Lonchura striata: one gene and its partners. The protein of the gene in region 1 interacts with the protein of each later gene in a pairwise test. Links are inferred from orthologs where the notes say so. Each region holds a gene or a part of one and is shown in the gene's direction. Other genes may lie near its edges.

The links.
Region 2: the proteins of FLNA (region 1) and KLHL12 interact in binary tests that used the Homo sapiens proteins (3 or more experiments, as listed by UniProt). The two-hybrid records come from large-scale screens. The link is inferred for Lonchura striata from reciprocal best matches to the Homo sapiens genes FLNA and KLHL12.
Region 3: the proteins of FLNA (region 1) and RFLNA interact in a two-hybrid assay, tested with the Homo sapiens proteins (2 studies listed by BioGRID). The two-hybrid records come from large-scale screens. The link is inferred for Lonchura striata from reciprocal best matches to the Homo sapiens genes FLNA and RFLNA.
Region 4: the proteins of FLNA (region 1) and PELO interact in binary tests that used the Homo sapiens proteins (3 or more experiments, as listed by UniProt). The link is inferred for Lonchura striata from reciprocal best matches to the Homo sapiens genes FLNA and PELO.

What each region holds. Positions count from the first base shown.
Region 1 is NC_134638.1:1,280,093-1,287,070, reverse strand, and holds the start of FLNA (filamin-A), read left to right. Parts: upstream 1-3,977; coding exon 3,978-4,320; intron 4,321-6,978. UniProt on the Homo sapiens protein: Promotes orthogonal branching of actin filaments and links actin filaments to membrane glycoproteins. Anchors various transmembrane proteins to the actin cytoskeleton and serves as a scaffold for a wide range of cytoplasmic signaling proteins.
Region 2 is NC_134632.1:520,401-528,241, reverse strand, and holds the start of KLHL12 (kelch-like protein 12), read left to right. Parts: upstream 1-4,827; coding exon 4,828-4,911; intron 4,912-5,137; coding exon 5,138-5,335; intron 5,336-7,841. UniProt on the Homo sapiens protein: Substrate-specific adapter of a BCR (BTB-CUL3-RBX1) E3 ubiquitin ligase complex that acts as a negative regulator of Wnt signaling pathway and ER-Golgi transport.
Region 3 is NC_134620.1:13,310,952-13,318,944, forward strand, and holds the start of RFLNA (refilin-A), read left to right. Parts: upstream 1-4,988; 5' UTR 4,989-4,996; coding exon 4,997-5,350; intron 5,351-7,993. UniProt on the Homo sapiens protein: Involved in the regulation of the perinuclear actin network and nuclear shape through interaction with filamins. Plays an essential role in actin cytoskeleton formation in developing cartilaginous cells.
Region 4 is NC_134642.1:33,089,536-33,096,390, reverse strand, and holds the start of PELO (protein pelota homolog), read left to right. Parts: upstream 1-3,845; 5' UTR 3,846-3,962; coding exon 3,963-4,688; intron 4,689-5,811; coding exon 5,812-6,243; 3' UTR 6,244-6,855. UniProt on the Homo sapiens protein: Component of the Pelota-HBS1L complex, a complex that recognizes stalled ribosomes and triggers the No-Go Decay (NGD) pathway.

The sequences.
Region 1 (6,978 bases):
GATCCCCCCCAAATCCGCCCCTCCCCTTTTATGGGCTCCCCAAACCCCCCGGGTGCCCCCCAGCCCCTCCCCAACCCCCCCCCGCAGTCCCCAGAGCCCCCCATGGGGGACCCCCCGACCCCTCCCCACCCCAAGAGCCCCCCCAAACCCGCCCCTCCCCCTTGATGGGCTCCCCAAATCCCCCCTCCCCCCTTTTAGGGGTCCCCGGGCCCCCCCCAGCCCCTCCCCGGCCCCCCCGGCCCCCCCCGGGGCGGGGCTCGCTCCTCTCGTTACCAATTAAGGCTCCGCGCGCGCCGCGCGAGCCCCCGGTACCGGCACCGCCACCGCGCGGGGCCACCGAGCCCTCCCCGGGACCGCCGAACCATCCCCGGGACCACCGAGCCATCCCCGGGACCACCGAGCCCTTCCCGGGACCGCCGAGCCCTTCCCCGGGACCACCGAACCATCCCCGGGACCACCGAGCCCTTCCCCGGGACCACCGAGCCCTTCCCGGGACCACCGAGCCCTTCCCGGGACCGCCGAACCATCCCCGGGACCACCGAGCCCTCCCCGGGACCACCGAACCATCCCCGGGACCGCCGAACCCTCCCCGGGACCGCCGAGCCATCCCCGGGACCACCGAGCCCTTCCCGGGACCACCGAGCCCTTCCCGGGACCACCGAGCCCTCCCCGGGACCACCGAGCCCTTCCCGGGACCACCGAGCCCTTCCCGGGACCGCCGAGCCCTCCCCGGGACCGCCGAACCATCCCCGGGACCACCGATCCCTTCCCAGGACCACCGAACCATCCCCGGGACCGCCGAACCATCCCCGGGACCACCGAGCCCTTCCCGGGACCGCCAATCCCTTCCCGGGACCTCCGAACCCTTCCCCGGGACCACCGATCCCTTCCCGGGACCTCCGATCCCTTCCCCGGGACCGACACCGGCACCGCTCGGATCCGCCCCGGGACCGCCGGGTCCCGAGCCCCGAGGACCACCGAGACCGAGCAGCAGGTGAGGAGCCCCCGGGACCCCCGAGCCCCCCTCAAGCCCCGGGGACCACCGGGGCCGCCGGAGCAGCGGGACCGGCACCCCTGGGTGGCGCCGACCCCCCCGGTCCCGACCCCTGACCCCCGGGACCCCCGGGACCCCCGGGAACCGAGCCCAGAGCCCCGAGTAGCCCCGGGACCCCCGCCAGGATCGCGGGGTTTGGGGGGGCTTTGGGTGGGCGGGGGGCGCGAGGGGGACCCCGAGTTTGGGGCTCCCCCGATTGGGGCTGGGGGACCCCCCAAGGTGTGACCCCGATTTTGGGGTCCGAGACCCCCTTGAGAGCCCCCTGGGGGCGCGTTTTGAGGGAACCCCTAAAATGGAGCTGGGGACCCCCAAATGGGGCTGGGGGAACGCCATAACGGGGGACCCCGATTTTGGGGGACCCCCTTGAGAGACCCCTGGGGGTGCTTTGGGGGCTGGGGACCCCCTAATGGGCTTGGGGTACCCCTCTGAATGGGACCCCCCCCCCCCTTTTTTGGGGGGGTCTGAGGAGCCCAGAGTGGCTGGGCCCCCCTTTTTGGGGTGGGGGTCCCCACTTGGGGCCACCTTTGGGGTCCGGGGGACCCCGGGAATGGGAAGGGGGCAACAGGGTGGGGACCCTCCCCTGACCCCCCCAATCTGGGGCCAATGGGGCAGAGCCGGGGGTCACCCCAAATTGGGGCACCCCTAAATGTTGGGGGAGTTTGGGGAGGGTCTCTCATTGTGGGGGTCCCATCATTATTGGGGTCCCCCATTATTAGGGTTTCTTCTTGTGGGCATCCCCCATTTATTGGGGGTACCTCATTATTGGGGTCCCTCCTTTTGGGGGTGCCCAGGTGAAGATGCTCATGGGGTCCCCCACTCTGGGATTCCCCCATTATGGGGATCCCCCATTATTGGGGTCCGTCATTACAGGGATCCCCCATTATGGGGGTACCCCATTATTGGGGTCCCCTGATTGTGGGGTCCCTTACTCCAGGGATTTCCCCATTGTGGGATCCCTTCATTTTGGGGGTCCCTCACTATGGGATCCCCTCCTTGTGGGGTTCCCTCGGTAATGGGATCCCTCATTTTGAGGGTCCCCCATTATTGGGATCCCCCGTTTTGGGCTCCCCCATTATCAGGATCCCTCGTTATTGGGGTTCCCCATTGTAGGATCCCCCATTCCGGATCTGCCCGGCTGCCACATCCCCCATTATTAGGATCCCCCCATTATTAGGATCCCCCCATTATTAGGAACCCCCTTTTTGGGATCGCCCGGTTTGGGCTCCCCCATTATCGCAATCCCCCATTATAAGGACCCCCCATTCTGGGCACCCTAATTTGGGCTCTCCCCCATTATTAGGGCCCCTCATTATGGGGTCCCTCATTATTGGGGTCACCCGTTATTAGGGTCTCCCGTTTTGGGGTCCCCCATTACGCACTGCCCCATTATTGCGATCCCCCATTATTAGCACCCCTCATTATTAGCATCCCCCTTTATTAGGATCCCTCCTTTTGGGATCCCCCCTTATCGGGATCCCCCATTTTGGGGATCTCCCATTATCAGGATTCTCGTTATTAGCATCCCCCATTTTGGGGATCCCCGTTATCCGGATTCCCATTAGTAACATCCTCCATTTTGGGGATCCCCGTTATCCGGATCCCCGTTATCAAGATTCCCGTTATCAGCCTCCCCCATTTTGGGGATCCCCGTTATCAGGATCCCCGTTATCAGGATTACCACTAGTAGCATCCCCCATTTTGGCGATCCCCGATCAGGATTCCCGTTATTCGCATTCCCCATTTTGGGGATCCCCGTTATCAGGGTCCCCGTTATCAGGATTCCCGTTATTCGCATCCCCCATTTGGGGATCCCTGTTATCAGGATTCCCGTTATCTGGATCCCCGTTGTCAGCACCCCCATTTTTGGGGATCCCCGTTATCAGCACCCCCATTTTGGGGATTCCCGTTATCAGGATCCCCGTTATGTGGATCCCCGTTATCAGCACCCCCATTTTTGGGGATCCCCGTTATCAGCACCCCCATTTTGAGGATCCCCGTTATCCGGACCCCCGTTACCAGCACCCCCGTTACCAGCACCCCCATTTTGGGGATCCCCGTTATCCGGATCCCCGTTATCAGAACCCCCGTTACCAGCACCCCCATTTGGGCATCCCCGTTATCCGGATCCCCGTTATCCGGATCCCCGTTATCAGGATCCCCGTTATCAGCACCCCCATTTGGGGATCCCCGCTCTCCGGACCCCCGTTACCAGCACCCCCGTTATCCGGATCCCCGTTATCAGCACCCCCATTATCCGGATCCCCGTTATCAGCATCCCCATTATCCGTATCCCTGCTCTCCGGATCCCCGTTATCCGTATCCCCGTTGTCCGGATCCCCGTTACCAGCACCCCCGTTATCAGCACCCCCATTTGGGGATCCCCGCTCTCCGGATCCCCGTTATCCAGATCCCCGTTATCCGGATCCCCGTTACCAGCACCCCCATTTGAGGATCCCCGCTCTCCGGATCCCCGTTACCAGCACCCCCGTTACCAACACCCCCGTTACCAACACCCCCGTTACCAGCACCCCCGTTATCAGCACCCCCATTTTGAGGATCCCCGTTATCAGCATCCCCGTTATCCGTATCCCCGCTCTCCGGATCCCCGTTATCCGTATTCCCGTTACCAGCACCCCCATTTTGAGTATCCCCGTTACCAGCACCCCCGTTACCAGCACCCCCGTTACCAGCACCCCCGTTACCAGCATCCCCGTTATCCGGATCCCCGTTATCCGTATCCCCGTTACCAGCACCCCCATTTTGAGTATCCCCGTTTCCAGCACCCCCGTTACCCGCACCCCCTTTGGTCCCCCCCGTCCCCGCGCTGCCCCCTTACCCCGCTCTCCAGCTCCGGTTTCTCACCGCCCCTCCCCTCCCTCCCTCCCTCCGTCCCTCCCCGCAGCCGCCCCGGGCCGGCCCCGCGATGAGCGCGCCGGGCGGGCGGGGCCGCGCGGAGCCGGGAGCGGAGCCCGAGATGCCGGCCACCGAGAAGGACCTGGCGGAGGACGCGCCCTGGAAGCGCATCCAGCAGAACACCTTCACCCGCTGGTGCAACGAGCACCTCAAATGCGTCCAGAAGCGCGTGGGCAACCTGCAGACCGACCTGGGCGACGGGCTGCGCCTCATCGCGCTGCTCGAGGTGCTCAGCCAGAAGCAGATGGGCCGCAAGTACAACGCGCGCCCCACCTTCCGCCAGATGCAGCTGGAGAACGTCTCGGTGGCCCTGGAGTTCCTGGAGAGGGAGAACATCAAGCTGGTGTCCATCGGTGAGAACCTCCGGGGCGGCGAGCGGGGCTGGCCGGGCGGCGAGCGGGGCGGCCCCGGGGGCGAGCGGGGCTGCGGAGGAGTTGGGGTTTTGGGGGGGGGGATGAGATTCCAGTGGTTAGTTTGGTGAGGAAAGGGTGGAAATGGGTCGGGAAAGGGTCAGAAATTGGGGAGGGGGCGTGAGAACAACCCCCAACTGCCCCCGGAAAGTTTTGGGGGTTGGGGAGGGGGTGGGGGCTGCGGAGGAGTTGGGAATTTGGGGGTGGGGATGAGATTCCAGTGGTTAGTTTGGTGAGGAAAGGGTGGAAATGGGTCAGAAATTGGGGAGGGGGCGTGAGAGCAACCCCCAACCCCCCCCCCTCCCCCCCCGGAAAGTTTTGGGGGTTGGGGAGGGGGTGTGGGAGTTAGTGAAGAGCTGGAATTTTGGGGGGGGGGTGAGATTCCAGTGGTTAATTTGGTGAGGAAAGGCTGGAAATGGGTCGGGAAAGGGTCAGAAATTGGGGAGGGGGCGTGAGAGCAACCCCCGGAAAGTTTTGGGGGTTGGGGAGGGGGTGTGGGAGTTAGTGAAGAGCTGGAATTTTGGGAGGGGGGGTGAGATTCCAGTGGTTAGTTTGGTGAGGAAAGGGTGGAAATGGGTCAGAAATTGGGGAGGGGGCGTGAGAGCAACCCCCAACCCCCCCCGGAAAGTTTTGGGGGTTGGGGAGGGGGTGTGGGATTTAGTGAGGAGCTGGAATTTTGGGGGGGGAAATGAGATTCCAGTGGCTAATTTGGTGAGGAAAGGGTGGAAATGGGTCGAGAAAAGGTCAGAAATTGGGGAGGGGGCGTGAGAGCAACCCCCAACCCCCCCCGGAAAGTTTTGAAAGTTTTGGGGGGGTGTGGGAGTTAGGGACGAGTTGGGATTTTTGGGGGGAAAATGAGATTGGAGTGGATTATTTGGTGAGGAAAAGGTGGAAAAGGGTCAGAAATTGAGGAGGGGGCGTGCGACCACCCCCCCCCCCTCCCGGAAATTTTTGGGGGTGGGGGGGTGTGGGAGTTAGTGAGGAGTCGGAATTTTGGAGTTTTGGATGAAAAAAGGAGGTTGAAATGGTGAGGAAAGGCTGGAAACGTCTCAGAAGAGGGTCAGAAATTGGGGAGGGGGCGTGCGACCACCCCCCAAAAAAGTTCAGGCCGTGGGGAGGAAGCGGGAGTTGGATTTTTTTGGGGAGAAAAAAAGGCAGAAATTAGATTTTTAGGGTTTTTTTGATAAAATGGTGGTGGATTCGCCCTAAAAGGGTCTCGGAAATTGGGGAGGGGGCGTGCGACCACCCCCCAAAAAGAGCGTGGAGCTCGGGGTGGGGCCATGGGGGGAGTGGCAGTTACGGAGCGTTGAAATTTTTTTGGGGAAAAAAAAGGAAATCTGAGCGATTTGTGGTGGTGGGGAGGGGGCAAAAATACCCCCGGAAGGATGTCAGGAATTGGGGGAGGGGTCGTGCGACCACCCCCCAAAAAACCTCCGAGGGGGTTCGGGGCGGGATGGGGGGAAACGGGAATTGTGGAGAAAATCGGATTTTGGGGGGAAAAAGGGAGATGGGAGCGGTTTGTGTTGCTGAAAAAGTGGAGAATTCTCCCCAAAACGGGCTCGGGAATTTGGGGAGGGGGCTCCTGGAGGAGCCGCGGGGGCTCTGAAATTTGGGGAGGGGTCCGCTGGGGGACCCCCCGGCCGGCGGAGGAAGGGGAGGGGTCCCTGCGAGAGGAGGAGCGGGGCGGGGCCGGGTGGGGAAAAAGCGGCGAATTCTCCCCAAAATGGGGCCGGGAATTTGGGGAGGGGGCTCCTGGAGGACCCCCAGAAATGGGGGGGGGGGCAACTGGGAGACCCCCAGAGCCCAAAATGGGGAGGGGTCTCTGCGGAAGGGAAGCTCGGACTGGTTTTAATGGTGAGGAGGGGGCGGGACCCCGACCCCAAAAGGCCCCGGAAATTGGGGAGGGGTCGTGGACGAGCCCAGAAATTGGGGGGGGGTCCCGCTCCCAAAAATGGGGAGGGGTCTCCAAGAGGGGGAGCATCCAACTGGTCCCAATTGGGGAGACCCCTCCCCAAAAAACACCCCGAAATTGGGGGGGGGGGTCCTGGAGAGGGCAAACCCCCTTCGATAATTTGGGGGGGGGTCTCAGGGGGCGCAGAGACCCCTCCCCAAATAACCCCAGAGTGATGGGGAGGGTCCTGAGACCCCTCCCCTTTATGAGACCCCCCCCGGGAATATTTTGGGGACCCCCCCCCACATTTAGGGCGGGGCTTTGGAGGCTCCTCCCCCCCCAAATCCCACCCTGGGGGGGGGGCTCCGTTTGAGACCCCCCCCCAAATTTGGGACACGCCCCTAAATTAGACCCCCCCCCAATTTGCGACCCCCCCCCCCCCACATTTGGGACCCCAAAATTAAAGGGGGAAGGTCCTGGAGACCCCTCCCCTCTTAGGGGGGCTCCCCCTTTTACAGGGCCCTGTTTGGGACCCCCTCCCCAATTTAGGGTCCCCCCTCCCCAATTTTGGACCCCCCCCCCAATTTAGGCTCCCCCCTCCCCCAATTTGGGGCGACCCCAAAATTAAGGGGGGGTGGGGGATGGGGGGGTCCGGCCCCTCCTCCCAGCGCAGGAATTTGGGGAGGGGGCGCCGCTCGCGGGGCTCGGGG
Region 2 (7,841 bases), on another chromosome or scaffold:
AGCAGCACAGGAATTGAGAACAGACTCAGGCTCCTCAGATGAACAGCTCCATGCAGGAGCTGAAACCAGAAGTTACTTGGCAGTAGCCTTTGAGTGCCTCTGGTCGGTGGAGGATTATCTTCCAGAGGATGAATGTTCTCAAGAATATATTCCCAAATCTGGTGGTAGCTTTTGTTAGTTTTGACATAAGAGACTTAAAGTCAACCCAATTCCAACATTTCTTCCTCTGCCTTCCCGGAACCATTCTTCTCCCACAGCACCACAATTCTGCATGCCCTGAAAGAACTGAGAATGGGACAAAACTCTCGGAGGATAAAAACTCTCGTGGGATAAAACTCTCAGAGAAAAAGGAAACTTCTAATAACAGAAACTTCAACAGAAAACATTTTCTCTCTGAATGAACAATAAAAGACATCAGTCTTGTGTCTAGAAGTACATGAGCCTCCAAAAAACTTTTTATAACTAAAGTATTTCAAATATTTTTTTTTTTTAATCAATGAGAATTGTTTGTAATGGTCCTGCCTGTACTCACGCCAAAGCTCTCCTTGCTATCTCATGGGCACATCTGATCTGTGTCTCCAGAGTTCTTGCACACTTCCACTCCTTGAACACCACAGTGCAGTGCGAGTCACATGGGCTCCGTGAGGTCCTGAAGGTGGCTTGGATGCAACCTCAGCTCTTCCAAAATCCATCTATCTGTTCCCTGAAATCCTTGTTCCTCCCTGTGGCAGACTCACACTCGTCCAAGCCATACCAAACCATACCACCTTCCCAAGTGCACAGCTGTGGGAGAACAACCCTCCCCAGGTTACTCTGCTGGGCAATGACAGCTCCAAGCACTGTTATCCCTGTGAGCTGCAGACAAGGGAGCAAGGGAGGAGTGAGAGGGATTCCAACCATGATCCACACAAACAGCAAATGCAAAACACCTGAAACTGGGCATCTGGGCTCTGCACTGCTGTTCCCAAGTAAAAGAGTCTGACTTGTCTTTCTAAGAGAAAGAGTGAGTACATCTGAGAGAAGGAGGGCTGGGGCACAGCCAGAGCAGCTGTGCTTCCTGGGGATCACATCTAAGTATTCTTAACCTACAGGACCTGCAGGCACAAACTCACATTTGCAGAAAACCAGGTTTGCTTGGCAGTGTGACAGCAGGTTCCCCAGCCTGGCTTGTGGAGGAGACACTGAGCCAGGACACACTGCAGCCTTGGAGAGCCAAGACTGTTCCCACAAATGCTGGGAACTGTGTCCCTGATGTCCCAGCACAGGGCTGGCAGAACACCTGAGTCACCAGGGAGTGCCATGTTTGGGTCAGAGCACTCTGCAGGAAGTCCTGGGGCACAAGAGCTGGCCTGACCAGCTCTGCTGCAGGTGAGATTCAGTACCATCCACCCCAAAAGTCATGGAACACAGACTTCAAAAGCCATTCCTCCACATCCCAACTGCCTCTTCAAATAGGCACAGCACAGGTGGCTCCTCCACTCACTAGGCTGGCCCTGTTCCAGTGGCAGGAGGTGTCTAAGTCCAAGCCAGTCTGAGGGAAAAACCCCAAAGGAAGCTACAGATGAAGTTCTCCCAAGTTTCTCCCTTGCACCACACCAGCTGGGACCTTTCTATGCAATCCCAGAGGACACTCCAAGGACCAGACAGGTCCTATCAATCAAGCCAAGGAACTTGGCTGTGGACATTAACCCAGACCCAAAGTGCAACTTAAATCAGAGGCCTAGAGAGCTGGTCCCACCCCACTCAGAGCAGAGCCAACACCAACATCCCATCAGGCTGCTCAGGGCCTTGTCCAGGTACATGGAAATGCCTTTGGAGCATGGTGTGTTTGTATAGAGTGTTCTAGACAGCATCACCACTGTGGGGTTGAAATGCATTCCCACAAATGGGATTACATGTTCCTTTTCAAAGCCCCTGCTCTACTTACTTGCTTATTCTGAAAGAATATTGCTGCAGTGAATTTATTTGTACATTATTTCTGAGCCCTACGATGCACCTTGCTCTTGCTTGCACAAATATGATAATTTCTCTATTTAGTTCTTTTTTCCTATATTAAAAATATGTATTTAAAAGGATAAATAATATATGCAGAACATTAATATAGAGAGCAATGCAATATATGTCACCATTCAAATAAGATTTTGTACCTAATTAACAAACATACAGTAAATTATGGTGTGCTTTTCATCCTTTGAGATATAAAGTTTAATTTCAATACGCAATTTTTACAGTGGCTGCCTTAATTTTCCTCAGTTTTATTTTCTTGAAAAAAATAATCAAGTTATAGATAGAACACCTGATCTGGAAAGGACCCACAAGAATCATGGAGTCCAACACCTGGCCCTGCACAGACACCCAACAATCCCACGCTGGGCACCCCTGGCAGCGCTGTCCAAACCCTCCTGCAGCTCTGGCAGCCTCGGTGCCCATTCCCTGGGCAGCCTGGGCAGTGCCAGCACCTCTGGGGGCAGGACCTTTCCCTGATCTCCATCTAACCCTCCCTGGCCCAGCTCCAGCTGTTCCCTGGGGTCCTGTCCCTGTCACAGGGAGCAGAGATCGGAGCTGCCCCTCCTGAGGAGCTGCAGCCCCAGTGGGGTCTGACCTCAGGCTCCAGGGTGAACAGACCAAGTGCCCTCAGCCGCTCCTCGTGTGGCCCCTCCAGACCCCTCCCTATTTCTGTGTCCCTCTTTTGGACACTCCAATAACTTCAGATCCTTCTTATATTGTGGTGCCCAAAACTGTCCCCCAGACTTGAGGTGAGGCTGCACCCCTACAAATGGTGGGGGAGCCACTGATTGTTCCCATTTGATACTATCTGGGATTTCATCTGTAGCCTTGGACAATCAGCACCAGGTGGACACAGAGGCTGACAGCTGGGAAATGAGGTGCACAGAGAGCACTAAGCAGGCAAGTGCTGCCTCTTTCCTCTGTTCTTCCAGGCTGTATCTCCCATGCATGAGTCTGCTCTCACACTCTGGTCACACATCCCTCCTGGCTTAGAGCTCCCAGAGGAGCAGATGATGATGCAGTCTCACACACATACTGGTACCTGCCTCCAGCACAATTTCTGCTTGAGTTGTATCTAGAGAATGAAGTGCTGCTGACTCAAAAATCCCCCCTGGTAGAGCATCTGCCAGCTCTGAAGGTAGTGGTAAACTGCCCTCCTTGCCAAACACTGGATTCTCATCTCCACCTGCTGGGTCTTGCCAATCATTTGCTTCTTTAGCATGTCTGAGGTCAAACAAATCCTCCAAACTCTCACTCCATGTACAGCCTTCAAACAGAGTGACCCTGGTTCTTGGAGGAGGAAGCTTTTGAATTAATGATCAGCCTGCAGTCCAGGATAATATCTCAACCTTGATGTACAGGTTTCTTAAGTCATACTCTGTTCTACATTTAGCTGGGAATTTATCTCAGGTTGTTGACAATGACTCTGCACCTGACTGTATGGATTCAGGTTTTAAAATTCATCCCCAAGCAGGCTTGGAAGCAAGCTCGAGGGCAGGAGGGGAGCGGAGGCGGCTCAGGGCTGTCAGCTGGAGGCGATCTGCTGGAGATGTTGAGTTGCATGTGTGGGAAGAGCTCAAAAATAGTATGAATTTTAAAATCCTGGATTCTAAAGCAGGCTCCTGGTGCCTGGCTCACAGCTTGGCTCCCGCAGCCCTGGCAGAGCCAGTTCCAGGGGTTCACCCGGCAGGAGCAGCACCAGGGGAAGGAGCAGCTCACACCATGCCCAGAGCTCTGTGAGGGCTCTGCCTCCAGAGCCCTGCGGCAGCGAACCGAGAACCATGGAATCACAGGATCATTAAGGTCGAAAAAGCCCTCTAAGATCACATAGTCCAACCACTCCCCAGAATTGCCATATTCACCGTAAAACCATGTCCCCAGGGGCCACATCCACACATATTTTAAACACTTTCAGGCGTGGTGATTCCACCATTCCATGCCGACTGTCCTGGGCAGCCTGTGCCAGGGCCTGATCAGCCCTTCAGGGAAGAACTTTTCCCCAGTATCCAACCTGAACCTCCTCTGGCCCAGCCTGAGGCCGTTCCCTCTCCTCCTGTCTCTGTTCCCTGTTGCACAGCCCAACCCCCCGGCTGTCCCCTCCTGTCAGGAGCTGTGCAGAGCCACAGGGTCCCCCTGAGCCTCCTTTTCTCCAGGCTGAGCCCCTTCCCAGCTCCCTCAGGGATTCTCCAGCCCCTTCCCAGCTCCCTCAGGGATTCTCCGGCCCCGTCCCAGCTCCCTCAGGGATTCTCCAGCCCTGTCCAGGCTCCCTCAGGGATTCTCCAGCCCGGCCCCAGCTCCCTCAGGGATTCTCCAGCCCTGTCCCAGCTTCCTCAGGGATTCTCCAGCCCTGTCCAGGCTCCCTCAGGGATTCTCTAACCCGGCCCCAGCTCCCTCAGGGATTCTCCAGCCCGGTCCCAGCTCCCTCAGGGATTCTCCAGCCCCTTCCCAGCTCCCTCAGGAACTCTCCAGCCCTGTCCCAGCTCCCTCAGGGATTCTCCAGCCCCTTCCCAGCTCCCTCAGGGATTCTCCAGTCCTGTCCCAGCTCCCTCAGGAACTCTCCAGCCCTGTCCCAGCTCCCTCAGGGATTCTCCAGCCCAGTCCTGTCCCAGCTCCCTCAGGAACTCTCCAGCCCCTTCCCAGCTCCCTCAGGGATTCTCCGGCCCCTTCCCAGCTCCCTCAGGGATTCTCCAGCCCGGCCCCTCAGGCTCTCCGCGCTGCAGGTCCCGCGGGGGCCGCTGGGGGGTGCTGCGGGGCCCGCCCCGGGCTCGTTGCTCGGCAACCGCCCGGCACCCAGGGGCGGGGCGCTCCGCGCGCGGCGCGATGACGCAATCAGAGCGCGCGGCAAGGGGAGAGGGAAGGGCGGGGGGAGGCGAGGTGTGCGGGCCAGGACCTCTCCCCGCGGCGGTGAGTGCGGCCGGGCCGGGCGGGGCGGGGCCGGGCCGAGCCGAGCCGAGCTGGGCCGAGCCGGGCCGGGCCGGGCCGGGCGGGGCGGGTGTCGCCGGGGCGGCCGCGCCGCGGGGTCGCGGTGGGCGGGGGCGCCGGGCGGGGCGGGCGCTGAGGGCGGCGCGGCGCAGCGCCCCCTGGCGGCGGCGGGCGCCGTGCCATGTGGCCGTGCTGGCTGTGCCCGCAGGTGCCGCGCGCCATGGCCCCCCCCAAGGACATCATGACCAACTCCCACGCCAAGTCCATCCTCAACGCCATGAACGCCCTGCGTAAGAGCAACACGCTCTGCGACGTCACCCTCCGCGTGGAGCACAAGGACTTCCCGGCCCACCGCATCGTCCTGGCCGCCTGCAGCGACTACTTCTGCGCCATGTTCACCAGCGAGGTCGGTGCTGCCGCCGGCCCTGGGTGCTCCGTGGGTGGAGGAGGCAGGGCCGCCCAGTCCTTGGGCTGTTCTCTGTTGAGCTGCTCAGCAGCTGGGCCAGCATCCCCCCGTGGGGGCCCAGGATCCCCTTGTGGTGATCCTGGATGCTGGAGTCCACTGGATACTCCCGGTGGTTGCTCAGGATGCCCCCGTTGTAGTTCTTGATCCTTTCATGGTGGCTGTGGGTGCTTCAGGAATCCCTATGGTGGCCCTGGATTACTCCATGGTGGTCCTTGGTCACTGTGAATCTCTCCATGCTGGCCCTGTAGCCCTCTGGGTTCTGTCTTGGTGGTCCTGGAGCCTTTCGAGGTGATTCTGTGTCTTCTTATGGTGGCCCCAGAGCCGTTTATTGTGACCTGGTGGGGAGTTAAGAGGTTGTGGCAGGAACTCTGGCCTTGATTCACCGTCTGCAGCGACCACCCTGTGCCCAGCGAGCTGCCAGGCTGAGCTGCCAAGCCAGAGAGTTGTGATACATTTACTTATTTTTCTAGTGGTGCTTTGTGGTTTCCGTGGTTGCGGGCATCTTTCCTGGCCTGGCACAGAGCTGTGGGAGCCGTGCTGGGGATTCTGGGCAACCCTTTCAGTGCAAGGGAGGGTGTTTGATGCATGCTCTGGGCTGCCCTTGGCACTGGCGGAGAGCTGGGCTGTGCTGCTCTCCTGCCATGGGGGTGGCTCTGAGCCCCAGGTGCTGCACCCAGCACATCTCACCTGTGAGCACCCTGGCTCTCAGCCCTTCCTGTGAAACTTGCACTACCTGTGTGCAGTTTCCCTGAGTCACTGACAGGCACTGCTTCAGCTGCAGCTGGCACTCTGTTAAATGTCAGATGCTTTGCCTGGCTTTGTCTTTATAAGTTGTAGTCAATATTACCAGCTTTCTGTTATGGAAGATGCTTTCCTTATCCTACTACCTTCCCCGTGAGCAGGGAGAAACATTGTTAAGTAGCTCACAGGTCCTAAAGCCCTCCCTGCTAGCTGAAGAATCATTGCAGCAGAGAATTATTTTTCTCTTTGTTTCACCCAGGCACAAAGGCTGTGGCAGAGCTCTCTGTGTGCCCACTTATCTCAGTGCTGTCAGGACAGCAGGTGTTTGAAGTCCTGTCTAAAGAAACCAAAATGATGCATGTGTAGCCTGACCTCAGACCAATACCTTTTTTTGTCCATATCTTCATGAAATTTGTAAATTCATCAGGTTTGTGCTCTTTCTCTGCATAAAGGAAATGTAATTAGATGATGAAAACACACAAAGCACATTCAATCCCTAGTGGCTGAAGTTCTCTGTTCTCCAGTAGCTCTAGGTGCTCAGCAGTACAGCAGAGTATCTCTGCTTCTCTAGGTTTGCCTCCATGTTCCTGTCAGTGCTTTTGACTTCTGGACTTCGTGTGCAGAGATCCCATCACTCCGTGTGCTCCAGAAGGTTCTTTGTGGCTGCTAACAAAGGCTGGGGGTTGGTGTGCTTTGGGTCTGAGCTGAGATGTCTCTCCTTGCTTCGTTACACTCGTGTTAGCTGTAACATCATAGTGACCTTCATTCAGACTTGAGAATCTTCCTAGGAAATTAAATTCTTCCTGGGAAAGTAGCTGTGCTCAGTAGGCAAAATTGCTTGTTCTCTCGTGCTCCCACAATGCCTCTGCTTTAAGGGTTTCTTTTCTTTTGCTTGGTTTGTGTTTCTTCCAAACTTGTGTCTTTGTTATGGAAACCCTAAAGTGACCAACCTGCCAAGGGGTACACAACTAGGGGCCAGGAAGGGGCAGCTTGGTAAGCCTCAGAGTGGACATGTTTCCTGTGTGTGTCAGCAACAAGTGTGTCGGGGCCTGTGATGGGACTGCTTGGACACTCTCCAGGCACTTGTGGGTGCAGGGTTTGGCCAGACTGGACTCCAGGGAGCTCAGAGTCTGTGTGGTGTCATGGATTGACAGGCCCTGCCAGGGCTTTCTCAGCTCTCCATTGCTTGCCTCCTGCAGGTCTGGGGACTGCTTGGCTGCTCTGATGTGCCAGGCTGGGCTGCATGAGGCTTTGTTCAGAATTGATTTTGGGTTTATGTCATGGCATCCCTGGCATTTTATCCTGGGGTTATGCCACAGTATTCCTGGTGTCACATCTGTGCATAGCCAGTACAGCACTGAGACTGTCAGCAGATACTGTTGTCATAAAGAACTGCCTTTGCCTCTCTGTGTCTCAAGTTTCCTTCCTTCTCTCACTTCTGACTTTTAACATTTTAAAATAAGTTCTCAGTCTAGCTTAGTATTAATTTCTTCCCATTTTATGTTCCTTCCTGTTTTACAGCATGAGAAGAAGCCACTGACCACCTGATGAACCCCAGGTTTCTTAGAGCACTTTCCTTTGCCCCTGTGCTAAGCAGTGTGGGAAAAGTGAAACACCATCAGTTTTACCTGCAGGCTTGTTCCTTGTAGTGAAAATTGCAGAGCAGTTTTATCACCCCTGGATCTTGGCTGTGCACTGGTATTTG
Region 3 (7,993 bases), on another chromosome or scaffold:
ATCGGCGTCTTTTCTGTTTGCTGTGATTTATGAATGGTTTCGCTGTTGATTATCCTCCAAGATTACAGCACAGCAGCCCTGACAGACAAGCAGAGGAAATTTCACAGGATAGCAGGCAGCTCCTTCTCTGGGGCAGTAAGGCAGGGAGGTGTGTTTTGATTCAGGTATGTAACAATATCTGACTGGACACCACAGGCAATTGAATACTCATCATGTGGCACCCTACTCAAAGGCAAGCAGGGTCAGTAGAAGTCTTGATAATTTTTCTGCACTCCAGAGCCTTTGCTCATTCTGTAATACAGTGTTCAGCTGGGGTTTTTTGTCTGGATTGTGGCACAAATGTACAAACTGCAGTCAAATATGAAAAGGCAACATTCTCATTCAACCCTGTGCAGTTCTTCAAAGATAATCCTTCTTTCTGAAGTCACAAAGTCTACTGCCCTGTCTGGGAGATGGACCGTCTTTTTTCAAGTCCAGGCTATTCAAAGGAAATTTGCTTCCTTTGATTTATTGCCAAGAACAGGCACTCCTGACCCCAGAAAAGGAGAATCTTGTGCTTTTCATTCCCATTTCCTGCCAGACAGTTTGTTCCAAGTCACTGCTAGGAGGGCTGTTTGTCTGGTGAGGGTAGCAGGGCCAGAGCAGGTGCAGTCATCACTTGAGGGGGCTGTGGCCTTCACTGGAGCAGACAGCCAAGACTTGGGAGTTGGGGTTGAAAAAAATTTCTGATGTAGGGGCTGCCTAAAAATAGGTAGACCTATCAGGAGGTGATTTTATCTCTTGATAAACAGCCTCTGCTTTTCAGGCAGAAAGGTTCCTTTGATTTGAACTCTGCCATGCTGCAAAATTAGTCATTATTGGCATGTGGTTTCCAGGTCCAGTCCTATGGCTGTGCTTCCGGCTCTTTGTGTCACATCTGGACCTGTGCAGTGAGCAGTGGTTTGCCGCCCTCATGCTTGGAATCATTTTGGGCTGAGGTGAACAACTTGCAGTGTGCCAGGCAAGGGTGGTCTGGGTCTGACAGACCTGAGTCCTGCTCTGTGGTCTTATTGCCTTCAGTGATGCTGCTACTTTGGTCCCTTTCAACACTGTTGTCAGGAACCCATGACAACAACCATGGCGGAGAGGGAAGGCTGCTCTTCTTTGGAGGGAACCAGAGAGCACAGTTACATCCTACTGTGCCCTGAGCCATTCTTACTGGGGCTGGAGTTACACTGTGGGTGTTCTCAAGGATTGGGTTCAACAGTGAACCAGAATGGACATTCCTAGCATTCTTCCTGTTTTGCCACCCAGCCTGCTTCAGAAAAAGTCCTGATGTAGGTGTTCGTATCCTGTCTCTTTCCTCCCTCACTGTATTTGTCTTTCAAGCCTGGCAGCAGTGGAAGGAAACTTAGCACGTGATGCTGACTCTCTGCCATGTCTGTGGGACGGCAGATTCCTAAAGTACTCAAATCTAGCTAAGAGAACAGCTAGGAAAACAGACGGCAGAGGATTCATAAAAGCATGGAGAGACTTGAATCCCAGTGGATTCGAGAAAGGATGATAGCTTTTATCCAGGAGCAGGGCTGCTCATATCAGGAGGGCTGTCTGGGTTCCTGCCTCCACTGTCCACACAGTACCTCTCTTATGACCTCCCATCTGTTTCAGGATTGAGCCTGGGATTTTGTGTTTTATAACAAATAGATCAATGAAAAATACAGTTGGAGAAGCTCTGAGAAATGTGTGTTTCAAAAAGCCCTCTAATTGCTGTTGTCAGGATTGCACCACTGCCTGAGAGTAAATCTTAACAGATACAGTCCTTCTGGACTTAGTTTTCTGCTACTTGACTTCCTGCTCCTTATTTGCTGTTGTTTCGCACTCAAATTCACAGCTAGGCAGGGTTTTTCCTTTGGAGACAGTGGAGGCCACTCTCCCCCAGGCTGTGCCTTCACACTGCTGCCCTTGTGCCACTGTGCTTGCACCTGTTTGTCTCTACTCAGCTGCTTCAGAAAACTCCTCTCCAGACTTTTCCTTCCTCCTTGTCCCACCATGCACACAAGGGCCCAGTTTCCCTTTTCCCAAGCCAAGACACAGGAATGTACCAGTCGCTAGTGATTCCTTCCAGCAAATGAAGAAGTGCTGAACTAAAGAGGGTTTCAGTGAAGCAACATGGCCTCAGCTGAAAAATTTGTTGTTTTTCTCCTTTTCTCCTTTGACAGGGCACTGTGCAATATTTAAATCCCGTTTCACCAGGCATAATTCTACCACACCATATATACACCTGTGTCTGCACACTGAATCCTTCACTAAGTTTCCATTCAGGCTGATTTTCATTGGCCAAGAGCAAGATACTGTGACTCCAGGAGGACTCTGACCAAAGTCTGAGTCACTTCTATCACAACCACCAGGACAGGAGCATTTCTTACCACCTGCCTGCACTGTGCTTTACAGAAGAGAGCTTCAACTTGGGTGTGCAACCCACTACTAACTTGAAACAGGTTACTAATCATAAGCATAACAACAATAATACCACCACAGCACACACATGTACTGCAGAACAACAACCACAATAACAATATAAACATAAGGTGTGTGCACACATGCCTTGCAGAACCAGCAGCAGTTTTGCCATTCATAAATGAAATCAACATCCCTACCAGTGCTGGGGGATGCTCAGCAGTGCTTTTTTCTTCAGCTGTTTGGAGCTCAGCAACTCCTAAACCATAACAACCACTGCTGAGCTGAACACATGTTGTAGTGAAATCTACCTTTAGAAATATACATTATTTGGGTCCAGGAAAGATTGGATTGTAGTTTTCTCAAACAAGAAACAGAAAAGTCAGTCTCCTCTCGACTGCTCCCCAAGTTAAAACAGGGTTTTCTAGGATGAAAGGACAATGCACTCACCCCTGCCCAGTGTCTCTGTCCTAGTCCTTTTTTCTCCGAGGAGGAAAGCAGCTCTGAAGACACTTCTTCCCCTTGCACACATGGTCTTGAGCCAGTTCAGGAGAGGGGCAGGGGAACTGGGCTGCAGGGGAACTGCTGGGCTGAATTCCTGACTTCACAGTATTAACTGGCCAGAGAATCCTATTACATGATAGGTAGCAAGCCAGGGACTAATTTATGGAAATTTTGACCTTCAGTCCCCTTTGACATTTTCAGATCAGCCATAGCCTGTGTGAGACATGAGAGCCCTTACAGTAAGGGGCTCTAAATCCGCCTGTGCAGCTGCTGGAGCTGACGGGCGGGTCAGAGGTAAGAATTCACTGAGGTTCGTGTGTGGGCTGCTCGGTGCCTGTTTGACATTTACAAATCAGTGACATTCCTCTGCACAGCTCAATGCATACAAATCGCTTCAGTCACTCTGTGGAGGGCCCCTCATTTCACTCAAAGGTGGATTTGGGCATCCATAGCCTTCCCTTTCAACTTCAGTAAGAAGACATAATGAGATTTGCTCCCTCAGGAGGATGCAGTGGGGGCACTTTTAAGTTCAACCCAACCACCAAGGACTTTGCACCATCTTCGTGGTTTGGGTGTGAAGCCTTTATCACTAGGTACAGTATCAGACCCCTCACATTTTCATTCATTGCCACAAGCATTGTGTTTGTCCATTTTGTAGTACAGACAGTCTCATTTCACTCAGTGCTGGGCCAATAACTCGGACCAAGAGAAGGCCAGCTGGATTTCAACAGCTTCCCATGGAAACCTATTTGCCATGAATAAAGCTCCACTGAGCTGAGCCATATGAGTGGGCTTGCCCCAGATTTCTCACAGTCTAGACTCTATGTAGAGAGAAAACATGATGAGAAAAACACAGTGTAACATTAGCCTCAACCAGTTATTGTGCAACAAATGACCATATTGGCTTCAGCCAGACTGACCTGTTTAACCACTGCTTCTTCTCTGAACCCTGAGGGTTAATTTGGACACATCATTCCCCTCCATGCTGGCAGTACCTCTGGCACATGATGCTCCTCCTGGCTAGAGGCTGTGCTGTGATTTGGGATGCTCTTCCATGGTGTTTACATTGGCCTTGCCGCACAATGGCTGGGACTGGGAGGCCGATTCCTTGGTTGTGGAAGCTGTGGAGTCAAAGAAACAGGCATGAGGGAGCAGGAGGTGTGAGGGCTGCCATGAGGGAATATGGTGGGTTTGTGCACCTTGGTAGCCAAGACCGCCACGGTGACCTGCTGTCTTGGTGAAGCTGCCCTTTGCCACCTCAGAGTGAAGAGGGACGATGGTTCTCAAGAGCTAAGTCTCTTCCCTCATGCCCACGAGCCACGACAGTGAGGGGAAAGGCTACTCTGGGTGTGTGGGGGTGAAAAAAGGATGGTGAAAATGAGAACTGAGGGGGAAATCGGCTCTGAGTGCGGGAAAACTTGGGACAGCACTGAGGGAATGAGTGGAGGTAAGCTGTGCCCCTGTGACGGCGTGATGTATGTGGCGAGGCCCCTTTCCCAGCCTTGGAGAGTGCAGAGATCGAAGAGGGACAAAAAGGAGGGGAAAATGGAACATAACTGAGGGAAAACTGAGGAATGAGCAGAGGGCAGCCACAGCTCACGGGGAGGTGTTCTGGGGACACCCCGCTCGCGCCGGCCGTGCGCGGGGGCGGCCCCGTCCCCTCAGGAGGGAGAGGGCAGGCGGGCGGCGCCGAACGCGCTCCGAGCCTGGGAAGCGCCCGAGAACGCGCGGCCGGGACAGAGCTGGGGGGCCGGGGGAAGGGGAGGGCGCTCCCCGGCTCCCTCCCACCCTCTCCGGATAAATGAGCCGCCGGGAGGCGGCGGGCGGCGCAGGCTGTGGGCGAGCGCGGCGCATCCCCGTCCCGTCCCCGTCCCGTCCCCGCCGCGCCCAGCGCTCCCTGCCGGCGGGGCCGGCCCGGGCGCTGCCGCGCGTACCCCGCGGGGCTGGGCGGGGGGACCGGGCGCCGCTTCCCTCCCCTGGGAACGCCTGAGGGCGGGGGCGGCCGGGCGGGCAGGGCCGGCGGAGGGGAGGCGGCCGGGACACCCCGGTCTGGCTGATGCTGGCAGCAGCGCCGGGCTCCGGCAGGCTGGTAGCGGCGGTCAGGACTCAGGAGGGGCCCCCCGGGCTCCCTTCCCCTTCCCTCCCTCCGCGGCGGGCGGCGCTGGAGGATTTTCTCCCGCCGCGGCCCCCTCGCTGTCCCCCAGACATGGTAGGTCACCTCCAGCTGCAAGGGATGGACGAGAGCCTGAAGGAGAAGAGCCGGGAAGGCTTGCTGGACAGTCCGGACTCGGGGCTGCCCCCCAGCCCCAGCCCCCCCTTCTACTCCCTGTCGCCCGGTGAGGGCCGGGCAGGGGGCAGCGGCGGTGCGGAGCCCCCGGGCCACCGGCGAGAGGCCAAGGACGGCAAAGTGGTAAGAGCCAAACCCGGGCACCGGGCTCTGTCCCCTCCGGGGGGGAAAGGCTGGCCGAGCTCCGGAGCGGGGCAGGCAGGAGGGCGCCTCTGGCCACTGCTCACCCTGGTCTGAGTGCCCCTCGCCGGCCGAGGGCACTCCGGGCTGCCCGTGGCGGCTGCGGTCCCGCGGTGGCAGCGCCGCTGCTGTGCCAGGCTGGGTTTTTGGATACACTCGCAGAGTGTTGGCAGTTTGGCTGGGTGAACTCTAATAACGGTGTGGGAGTGAAAACCAAAGTCTGAACCAAGCTCCCCTACCCACCTTCGGAAGAGAAAAGCGTAACTGTTTCTCAGTGACACTGCTCTGCCTGGTAGGTGCAGGTTGGAGCTGCATCCATCCGGACCGAGGCAGGGGCGTCTGGCTTCCAGTCATCATTACGCCCTGGCATCCCACATCTGCTTTGTGAGGAGCGTGGAGCCGCGTTTGCTGGAGCAAAGAAAGACAAAAGTGCCCTTTAGCTGGGGCAGGGTAGGGATGTGTGTCCGGGGAGTAGCTGCGGGACAGGGTCCGGGAAGGGCTGTGTGCTGCTGCCCTTTGCTGGAGCGGGGCTTTGTGGCATGAGCCCGCATGAAAGGTTTGTCCGCTGGCAGCCGAGCGGAGCCGGGGTAGCGGTTTGTAAGCTCAGACAGCTGGCAGAGCACTGCAGGTCTCGGTCAGCCTGATGCAGTGCCAGTGAAGCACTTGAATGTGGAGTAGGATCGGGGTAGATTTATTATGACTATTATTTTGCTTTATTTATTTCTATCCCTGAGCTATAAAACCCATTTTTAAAACACAGCGTTCAGAGCATAAGCAATGGTGGTGGGGGTTTTTAAAGGATGATGAAAGTTCTTCCCCAGGGCTCTTTAAATTTTTTTTTAAACATGTATAAAAGATGTTTGTAGGTGTATTCAGCGTGGTTAATTGGCTTTAAACAGCAGCACAAATCTTTCCATGAGAAAAATTTATCTCCTTCTGCTCTAGTGACAATTCAGACTTCTTTCCCATAGAGACATTTTGCAATGACTCCTCACACCCTTGTGCACTTTCTCAAGTTCTAAGGCCTTTTGAGAATATTACTGAAAACTGCCTTTTTCTCCTGAACATGCCAAAACCTTCCCCATGAACAATGACTCCTCACAGTGGAGAGGGTGTGAAGGCTTATTATGAAAGTCAAATCTCAAACCAGCTAACACGGCAGTTCCTAATATGGAGCCTTACCTGCAAGATGCCTGGGCGTGTGTGCCATCTCGATGGGAGTGTTTATGTACAAAGTTACCCACACGGCTCTGATTTGGCAAGATCAGGCTGTTCCCGTGTGTCTGTAAAATAAAATTGGGCAGGAAGGTGAGTGAAGGCTGCTGGAGCGAAAAACAGCAGGGGTGGAGGTGTCTGCAAAACTCTGTAATGGGGATATGACAGTCTCCATTCCAGTCATATGACAGTTGGCCATCGCACCATCCAAGAAAGTCCTTAGACATCAAAGAAGAAAGAACATGAAAAAATTTATTTCAGTTCATGGGCTGTTAGTCTTGAGAGTTTTAGTGCTTGACTCCTACAGGGAGAAAAGTTATTCCTGTGATCTGAATAAGGTAAAGTTAAGTTTTTCAATTGTTTTCATCATTAGTGAACATTTTAGACACTTCAAAAAAGCTCACACTGTTTCTACATTCTGTATCACATTGCAAGGGCTCCTGCTTAGAGTATGGGTTCTACACATTGGGAATGTATGGAATTCCATGCTCTTAGCAGGTACAGAAGGTTGCAGGGATCCAAATGCTGAAACCAGTCAGAATGTATTATTCGGAGCGATGCTGGGCTCTGTTCTTTAACTCTGCTTGGTTCACTGCAAAATAATGAAGTAAATAGGAATTTTCACTCCATTGGACTACAGAGAGTTTAACTTCCTTTCATTTCCACTGTGCAAATACTGTACTTGCAGCTGATATTAATGCAGGAAAAATATGAAGAGTATTGCTTGCTTCATACTTTGAAATTGCAGTGTCTAATTAGCTTTAATTTTGCCATTTTACAAGGGCTTGCTGATCTGTGAGCAGTTATGCAACCCATGAATGTGCTTCTGTTTAAGTCTATTCCTCTGCTGTTCATCAGAGCATGCAGAATTGGCAAATCAATAATTGCAGCTATTTGCACACCAAGAAATGCTGTTTTTAATCGCCTGTTATATTAGTGTTTGTTTTGCTTATAAACGTGACAGAGCCAGGAACAAAACCTGCACTCTTTGTGTTGGAATACTATAAAACCATACATAACTCAGTCACCAACAGCCAAGGTTCTAGTATGTACAATTACAATAAATTGCTGTCAGGTGAAGGAAACAACATTCCAGGTCTGTGTGAAGTATTTCATACTATTATTTGTTGCAGAACTATCAAACCACTGGTCTGAATCCAGTTGCATTCTTCTGCAGTCAGCTATTTTGCTCCAACTTTGCAAATATGTTACACAATTTTTCTCCTTTAGGATGGCACTTCTCATGCAGAGTAAAAGGAGATTGCATGCCTTATCGAAGATTTTCTTGTGTGCAAAATCTGTGTTCTCACTGCTCTGTGTTATTAACTGTGACTCTGAAAAAGTAAACTCTCTGCTCTTTAATAAGCACAA
Region 4 (6,855 bases), on another chromosome or scaffold:
AGGGATGGCTGAGTTTACTTCAGCTGGTCTCTATGCAATTGGTTTGACTAGGGATCTGCTGAAGTTTTCTCCAGCCCTACATTTCAACAACTAAAGAATGAAGAAGTCAGTTTCAAGGGTTCCATTACCTTTAAAAGCTCCCTCACTTAACAGTGTTATGCAAAGCCTGTTCCCTCCTGGACTTCTTTATTGATGATGGTCTTGCTGTACTCATCTTTATAACAGAAAAGATAAATAGAAAAAGACAGAACTGTATGCAGAAAATGAAGTGATCTTTGTTCAGAGTCTGTACAAGCAGGACAGCCATAGGACAAAGGCAAAGCATGAAAACAGATGTTTTCCCAAGTTTCCCCTCTCCATCTGTCTCTTTTATATTCCTCTGCTCTTGAAATAATAATGCCCAACATTTCTTAGCAGACTTCCCCCTACATCAGAAATTCTTTTCCATTAGTTTTTCTTATCCAGAATGTAAGCATGTTTGCATGAATTCTAGCTAAAGTGTCTATAATATGGAGAAGATGAGATTTCCTAGGAAAATGACCCCTCCTTGTCTAAAATCTGTATGTAACCCATCTTCATAAAGTAGTTGACCAAGAGTTGAAGACATAGGGAAGCGTGTCTAAAACATTTTCAGAATAATAGCTTTAGATAACCAGCATGGCTCTAAAATCCCTAAGAATATATGATACCACCATTTTCATTTTATCTTGCATTGTACTTAAGAAGGTCCAAAAATGGATGTCAAATTGCTGCAATTATTAATACCTATAGAAGTGTATTTACAAAGTGATTTATTGCAAGAACTCTTAGGTCCTATACATAGTCTCAATCTTATACCAAGACAGGAACAACCTATGCCATTTTGAACTTTCATGTTAAAACTATGAGGATTTGGAAGTACCCACTTGTTTTGGCTCTACCATGGTCAAATTCATCTCTCTTCCTGTCATTAGCACAATTAGAATAAACTTAGAAACTTCTGTGATTCTTAATTTTTTGAGATATTTTTCTTCTACTGCTCATACTTTGACATACTCAAACAAATAATAATATCCTATATTTACTTTTTTTACCAGAGTAGGCAAAGCATCATCATCTCTAGTAAATATTTTCCTTTCTAAGTTGACAATAGTCCTGCTGATAGTGGGTAAATCCATTGAAGTTTACATTTGCCACTAAATATTTGTGGATCACTGTTCACAACTCTATAAATCTTACAACTTGCTGTTTGAGAAAAGGCCCATATCAAAATGTTTCTTTCTACAACAGGTAATTGAAACTTTTGAGTGGCAACTTTGTTTCAAAGTTGGCCTTTCTTCTTTGGTTGTGGTTTTGTTCTTCCTGAATTCTTGCTTTTGGGGTGTGTGAGGCGGGGTGTGTGTATGCACACATGTGTGTTATTGTGGGGTTTTTTAATGCAGCAAGTCACTTATTTTCCTGAATGAAATGTTTATTTTTTACTGGATAATACTGGATGCCAACTTGCAACCTTTATCTAGAATATATTGCATCTCCAGGGATGGTTGTAAAAATTTGACTGGAATGAATAAGCACAGAAAAGTCTGTAAATACACAGCTGTAAAATAATAAAAAGTAAAATACATTTTAATGTGGAAGTTAAATATGCACCACAACTACTTTTTCTTGAAAGAATAGCGTGAGGTCAACCTTTGAAATTTTATAGTTGCAAAGAATGTAAAGAAGAAAATCTGCCATAAAATCACATTCAGCATTTATATAGATAAGTGAAAGGAACTCTGAAAGTAAAGTTGAATGCACACTAGTGCAAAATTATTAATACAAACAAGTTAAACAGTTACTTACACATGTGCTTATGTTATATTCCCTTGGGTGGTCCTGCTTGATTCTGTGAAACAATTCATGCTAACAGAGTTAAGCATGTGTACTCACAGGAAGAGAGTCTGAGGTCTGATAAATAAATCCTATTATGTAATATCTGATAAAGTTGTTTTTACACCAGTATCAAGCTTAGGGAAAAGGAACGCACATTTCTGAGCCAAATCTGAGTTCACTGTCCTGTCACAACTGACTAAAGCTAGATACTTCTGAGAAATTTATAGGTTCACCATAATGGAAGATATGGGATTATTTTTGCTCACAGTAGCCTTGTATCTCATCAAATTCTTGACTCCAAAGCCTTCCCAAGTCAGCAAATTCCATAATCATAGTGAGTTGGTTTTTTTTTTTCTTAAATAGCTAATAGAAACCAGAAACTTCCTTGTGACCACCTTCTCATCTGTAAGAAGATGCCATCAGAAGATGCTTTTCTATAGTAGACCGAGTGTGTAATCATTCCAAACTTATCTGCTGCAACTGCCCTGACACACTTAGCATGGCATATTAGTGTGCTGAACTTTTCAACCTATTTTTATTTAATAATTTCTCATGCAAGCATTTTTTTTTCTATTCTTCATTCTTTCCCATGATCTATATTCGTAACATTCATTCTTAAATGGAGTTTTTAGTGTTGTACACTGTTTCAAAAATTAGCTACAGAAATCAGAATTACAGAATTATATATTTTAAGGGATTGGAATGAACATTATAGATCATCTAGTCCCAACCCACCCTGCTATGCGCAGGGACAATTCCCACTCAACAATTCCCAGCCTTCTCAATTCCTTGTCCAATGAGTACCAGGGTTGGGGAAACCACAGCCTTCCTGGGCAACCAGGGTTTAGGCACTATTCCAGTGTGTAACCACCCTCAAAGAAACATTTCTTCCTGTTATGTAACTTAAATTTCCCCTCTTTCAGTTTGTACCTATTACTTATTGTCCTGTCACTGCAGTTCCTGATGAAGAATCCCTCTCCAGCTTCCCTCTTCCCTGTAAGATACTGGAAGGTTGCTATGTGGTCTCAGCTTTCTCTTCTTCTCCAGTATTCCTCCCTTCTTGTATAGTGATAGAACTTTTCATTATTTCTGGATTGCTAAATTCATTTAGGCTGAAAATTCAGCTGTGTAATGATGGTTCAGGTCCATTTTCTTTATATGTCTTTTATCAAGGCATCTTATTTCTCTATGTGAACATCCAGCTTCGTTTGAAACGTGCTCATCCTGCCTCCCTAGCATGTCAGAACTGGAAGGAAGCTGGTCAAGGTTCAGCACGGGCTGAAATGTAACTTGCAAATTTAACCAAAACCTTTTAAACCGGAATTCAGTTTAAGAGCAGCAGCCAAGTAACAGGTCATGTTCTGATGTTGCCTGGTTTTCGTTTCCATGGGTGACGGCCGCCTCGCTCCGCCTCAGTCAGGCGGCGCTGGGGGTGGCACTGCCGTCCCCTGGCTCCTTGGCCTCGCCGAACCACGGCACCTCTTGCCTCTTTTGCCAGCTGCGCCTCTAAGTTTCCAACAACTGCTTGGCTTTGGCCGTTTGGTTTTGGTTTGGTTTTCGCCTCTCGTGTTTTGAAACGTGTGGCACGGCGTTAGGAGACTCCAGGAGTTTGGACGGCCGCTGTGCAGCGCTGGAGGGGAATGACGAACGGGGGGGCGACCCTTCCCACGGGGCAGCGCCCGGCAGCAGCAGCGCGGGCAGCGCCCGGCAGCAGCAGCGCGCCCCTCCCCGCGCCCCGCCCTCACGCCGCCCCGCACTCTTCCTTCGCTGACGCACCTCGGGACGCGCCGCCCGGCTACCGCGCGCGGCGCCTCGCGCATGCGCCGCGCCTGCGGCGACCGAGCGCGCCCCGGCGGCGCCTCAGGAGGGAGCGGCGTCTGTGCGCGTGCGCCGTGGGGCGGCCGGGGACGCCGCGCGTGCGCGTTTGTGCCGGCGGCGGGCGCGCTCGGGAGCGCGGGGTTGGGGCGCGCCGGGAAGGCGGCGCGGGTGTCCGTCGGTCCGTCCGGGAGCGTGCGCCCCGCGGGGCCCGGCCCTCAGCCTGCCCGCCGGGGGCACGCCTGCCGCCCGCTGCCGCCGCGACACGGGCAGCGACGCGAGGAGCCGCCAGGATGAAGCTGGTGAGGAAGGACCTGGAGAAGGATAATGCGGGGCAGGTGACGCTGATCCCTGAGGAGCCTGAGGACATGTGGCACACCTACAACCTGCTACAGGTGGGTGACAGCCTGCGCGCCTCCACCATCCGCAAGGTTCAGACCGAGTCGTCCACGGGCAGCGTGGGCAGCAACCGCGTCCGCACCACCCTCACCCTCTGCGTGGAGACCATCGACTTCGACTCACAGGCCTGCCAGCTGCGGGTTAAGGGCACGAACATCCAGGAGAACGAGTACGTGAAGATGGGCGCCTACCACACCATCGAGCTGGAGCCCAACCGTCAGTTCACCCTGGCCAAGAAGCAGTGGGACAGCGTGGTGCTGGAGCGCATCGAGCAGGCCTGCGACCCGGCCTGGAGCGCCGATGTGGCGGCCGTGGTCATGCAGGAGGGGCTGGCTCACGTCTGCCTGGTCACCCCGAGCATGACGCTGACTCGAGCCAAGGTGGAGGTGAACATCCCCCGCAAGCGGAAAGGGAACTGCAGTCAGCACGACCGGGCTCTGGAGAGGTTTTACGAGCAGGTGGTGCAAGCCATCCAGAGGCATATCAACTTTGAGGTGGTGAAGTGTGTACTGGTGGCTAGCCCAGGCTTCGTGCGGGAGCAGTTTTGTGACTACATGTTCCAGCAGGCAGTCAAGACTGACAACAAACTTCTGCTGGAGAACAGGTCCAAGTTCTTACAGGTAAGGATCTAAGCAGTTTCTAGAGTAGGTAAAAAGAGGCTTGAGAGTTGCGTATGATAGTAAAAGGTAGTTACATGGGAAATAAGTCACTAAAGAAAATAAATTTCTGACTGAGCATCATGAGAAAATTATTCTTATGTCTCCCAAACTATAAATGAGTTGTGCGTAGTATAAGGATGGTTCCCACATAGGATACCTTTATCTGGAATAGAGAAAGTGTTAGATATTTCAAACTCCCTGTAAAGGCATATTGGCTCTTCAATTAAGTGTGAAGTTTAAGTTGGAAAGTACTTTGCACTGTTACGTTGTCACCTGTATAGCATCCATGTTTAATAACAACTTTCCAAAGATGTTTTTTTAAAAGTACCTGAATGTAGTATAGGTTAATTAATTTTGTATTAACAAATTTAACTAGAATTTCATTGTTAGTTTTGTACCACATATTTAAAGGCTCTGTTTTTTTCCTTGTTTCTTAGTCATCTCATTGATTGAGTGCATGGGGGTTTAGCTTTATACTAAAATAGTCATATTCAGGACCTAAAATACGTTTTCATAAGGATTCTTGTATTATTTTTAGATTGGAGTAGGCCTGGGGTGATCTGGGGGCAGGGATAGTGAAGTGAGTCCCAGTACTTAGGAGACCCAGTGCACCAAGAAAACCCTCCTGTTCCATGTGTAACAAAGTGATAATAGAGAGAAGTAGCTTTGTGACCATAATAATTGCACAGAGTTGATGCTTTTACACTATATGCCTGCAGTGTTGAGGGTCCTTCCTTTTCTTCAATGCTTTAAAAGAGAGGCGTAGGCTTAGATTTGAGTTTCTTGGTAGTTTCAAGTAGCCGTATCTTGGGAGCTGTTGAGCTTGTATATTTAATCCAGGCTTTGAATAAGAGAGGCAGTTGTCTTTTTCTGCTTCAAAGACAGTTTAAGGGATTTGGTATAGGCTCTGTGTTGCAGGAGAGATTAAGAAAAGAATCATGTGTATGTCAAGAAGGACACAAGTTCCCCAGATAATTATCGAGATTAATATTACATATCATGGAGGGTGTTTGTGATTGGTTAATAAAGAAAATGGTCCTTTTTTTTCAAAAACACCAAACTTTTGACTTTGTTTTCACTCTAGGTCCACTCTTCCTCAGGACATAAATACGCACTGAAAGAAGCACTCTGCGACCCAGCTGTAACTAGCCGTCTTTCTGACACTAAGGCAGCTGGTGAGGTCAAAGCCTTAGATGACTTCTATAAAATGCTGCAGCATGAGCCTGACCGGGCTTTTTATGGCCTGAAACATGTGGAAAAGGCCAATGAAGCCATGGCCATTGATACCCTGCTGATCAGTGATGAGCTTTTTCGGCACCAGGATGTGGCTACACGTTCCCGATATGTTAAATTGGTAGATAGCGTACGGGAGAACATGGGCACAGTGCGCATTTTCTCCAGCCTCCATGTGTCTGGAGAGCAGCTGGGCCAGCTGACAGGGGTGGCAGCTATCCTGCGCTTTCCAGTTGCTGAGCTCTCTGACCAGGAAGATGAATCTAGCTCTGAAGAGGATTGATAACAGTGGCTTCATTCCACAGTTTCTTTTCAGTGTCATGTTGAAATTACATTAAAAGGTCCTCCTCACCTGAATACTGTGTGCACATGTACCATGACATGTAATTAAAAAGGTTTAATAATAAACATATACATGCATATATATATAGCTTTATGTAGCACACTACTTGATATCTGATGTATGGTAATAATTATTGATATGCTGTGCTGAGCTGACTGTTTTTGCAGTTCCAGACCACCAGCAGTACAAGAAACTAATTTGGCTCCTCAGTGCTGGTTGGTCTGCATGTTAAGGCATACTGCCAACTTAGGTGAAATGTGTAAGAAAAAATAGTAAGCTAACAGGGCGAAATTCATGTTGTAATATTTCTTTTCAAATGCTTGAAAAGAGTATAGTGAAACAAATGCAAACTTCTTGGGAGACTTGTCAAAACTGTGCTCGATCTTCATAGGTGCTCCCTGTTCTCTGTAAGGTGTGTCAAAGGAATAGGGTCAATATCAATTCTTAGGGCTTAGTGTGGTGATGTAAGTCTAACCACTTAAATATTTCTGTGAAACACTTGAAGCAGTCTTTCAGCAATGAGACCCTTTATCTTAACCATAACTTTACATT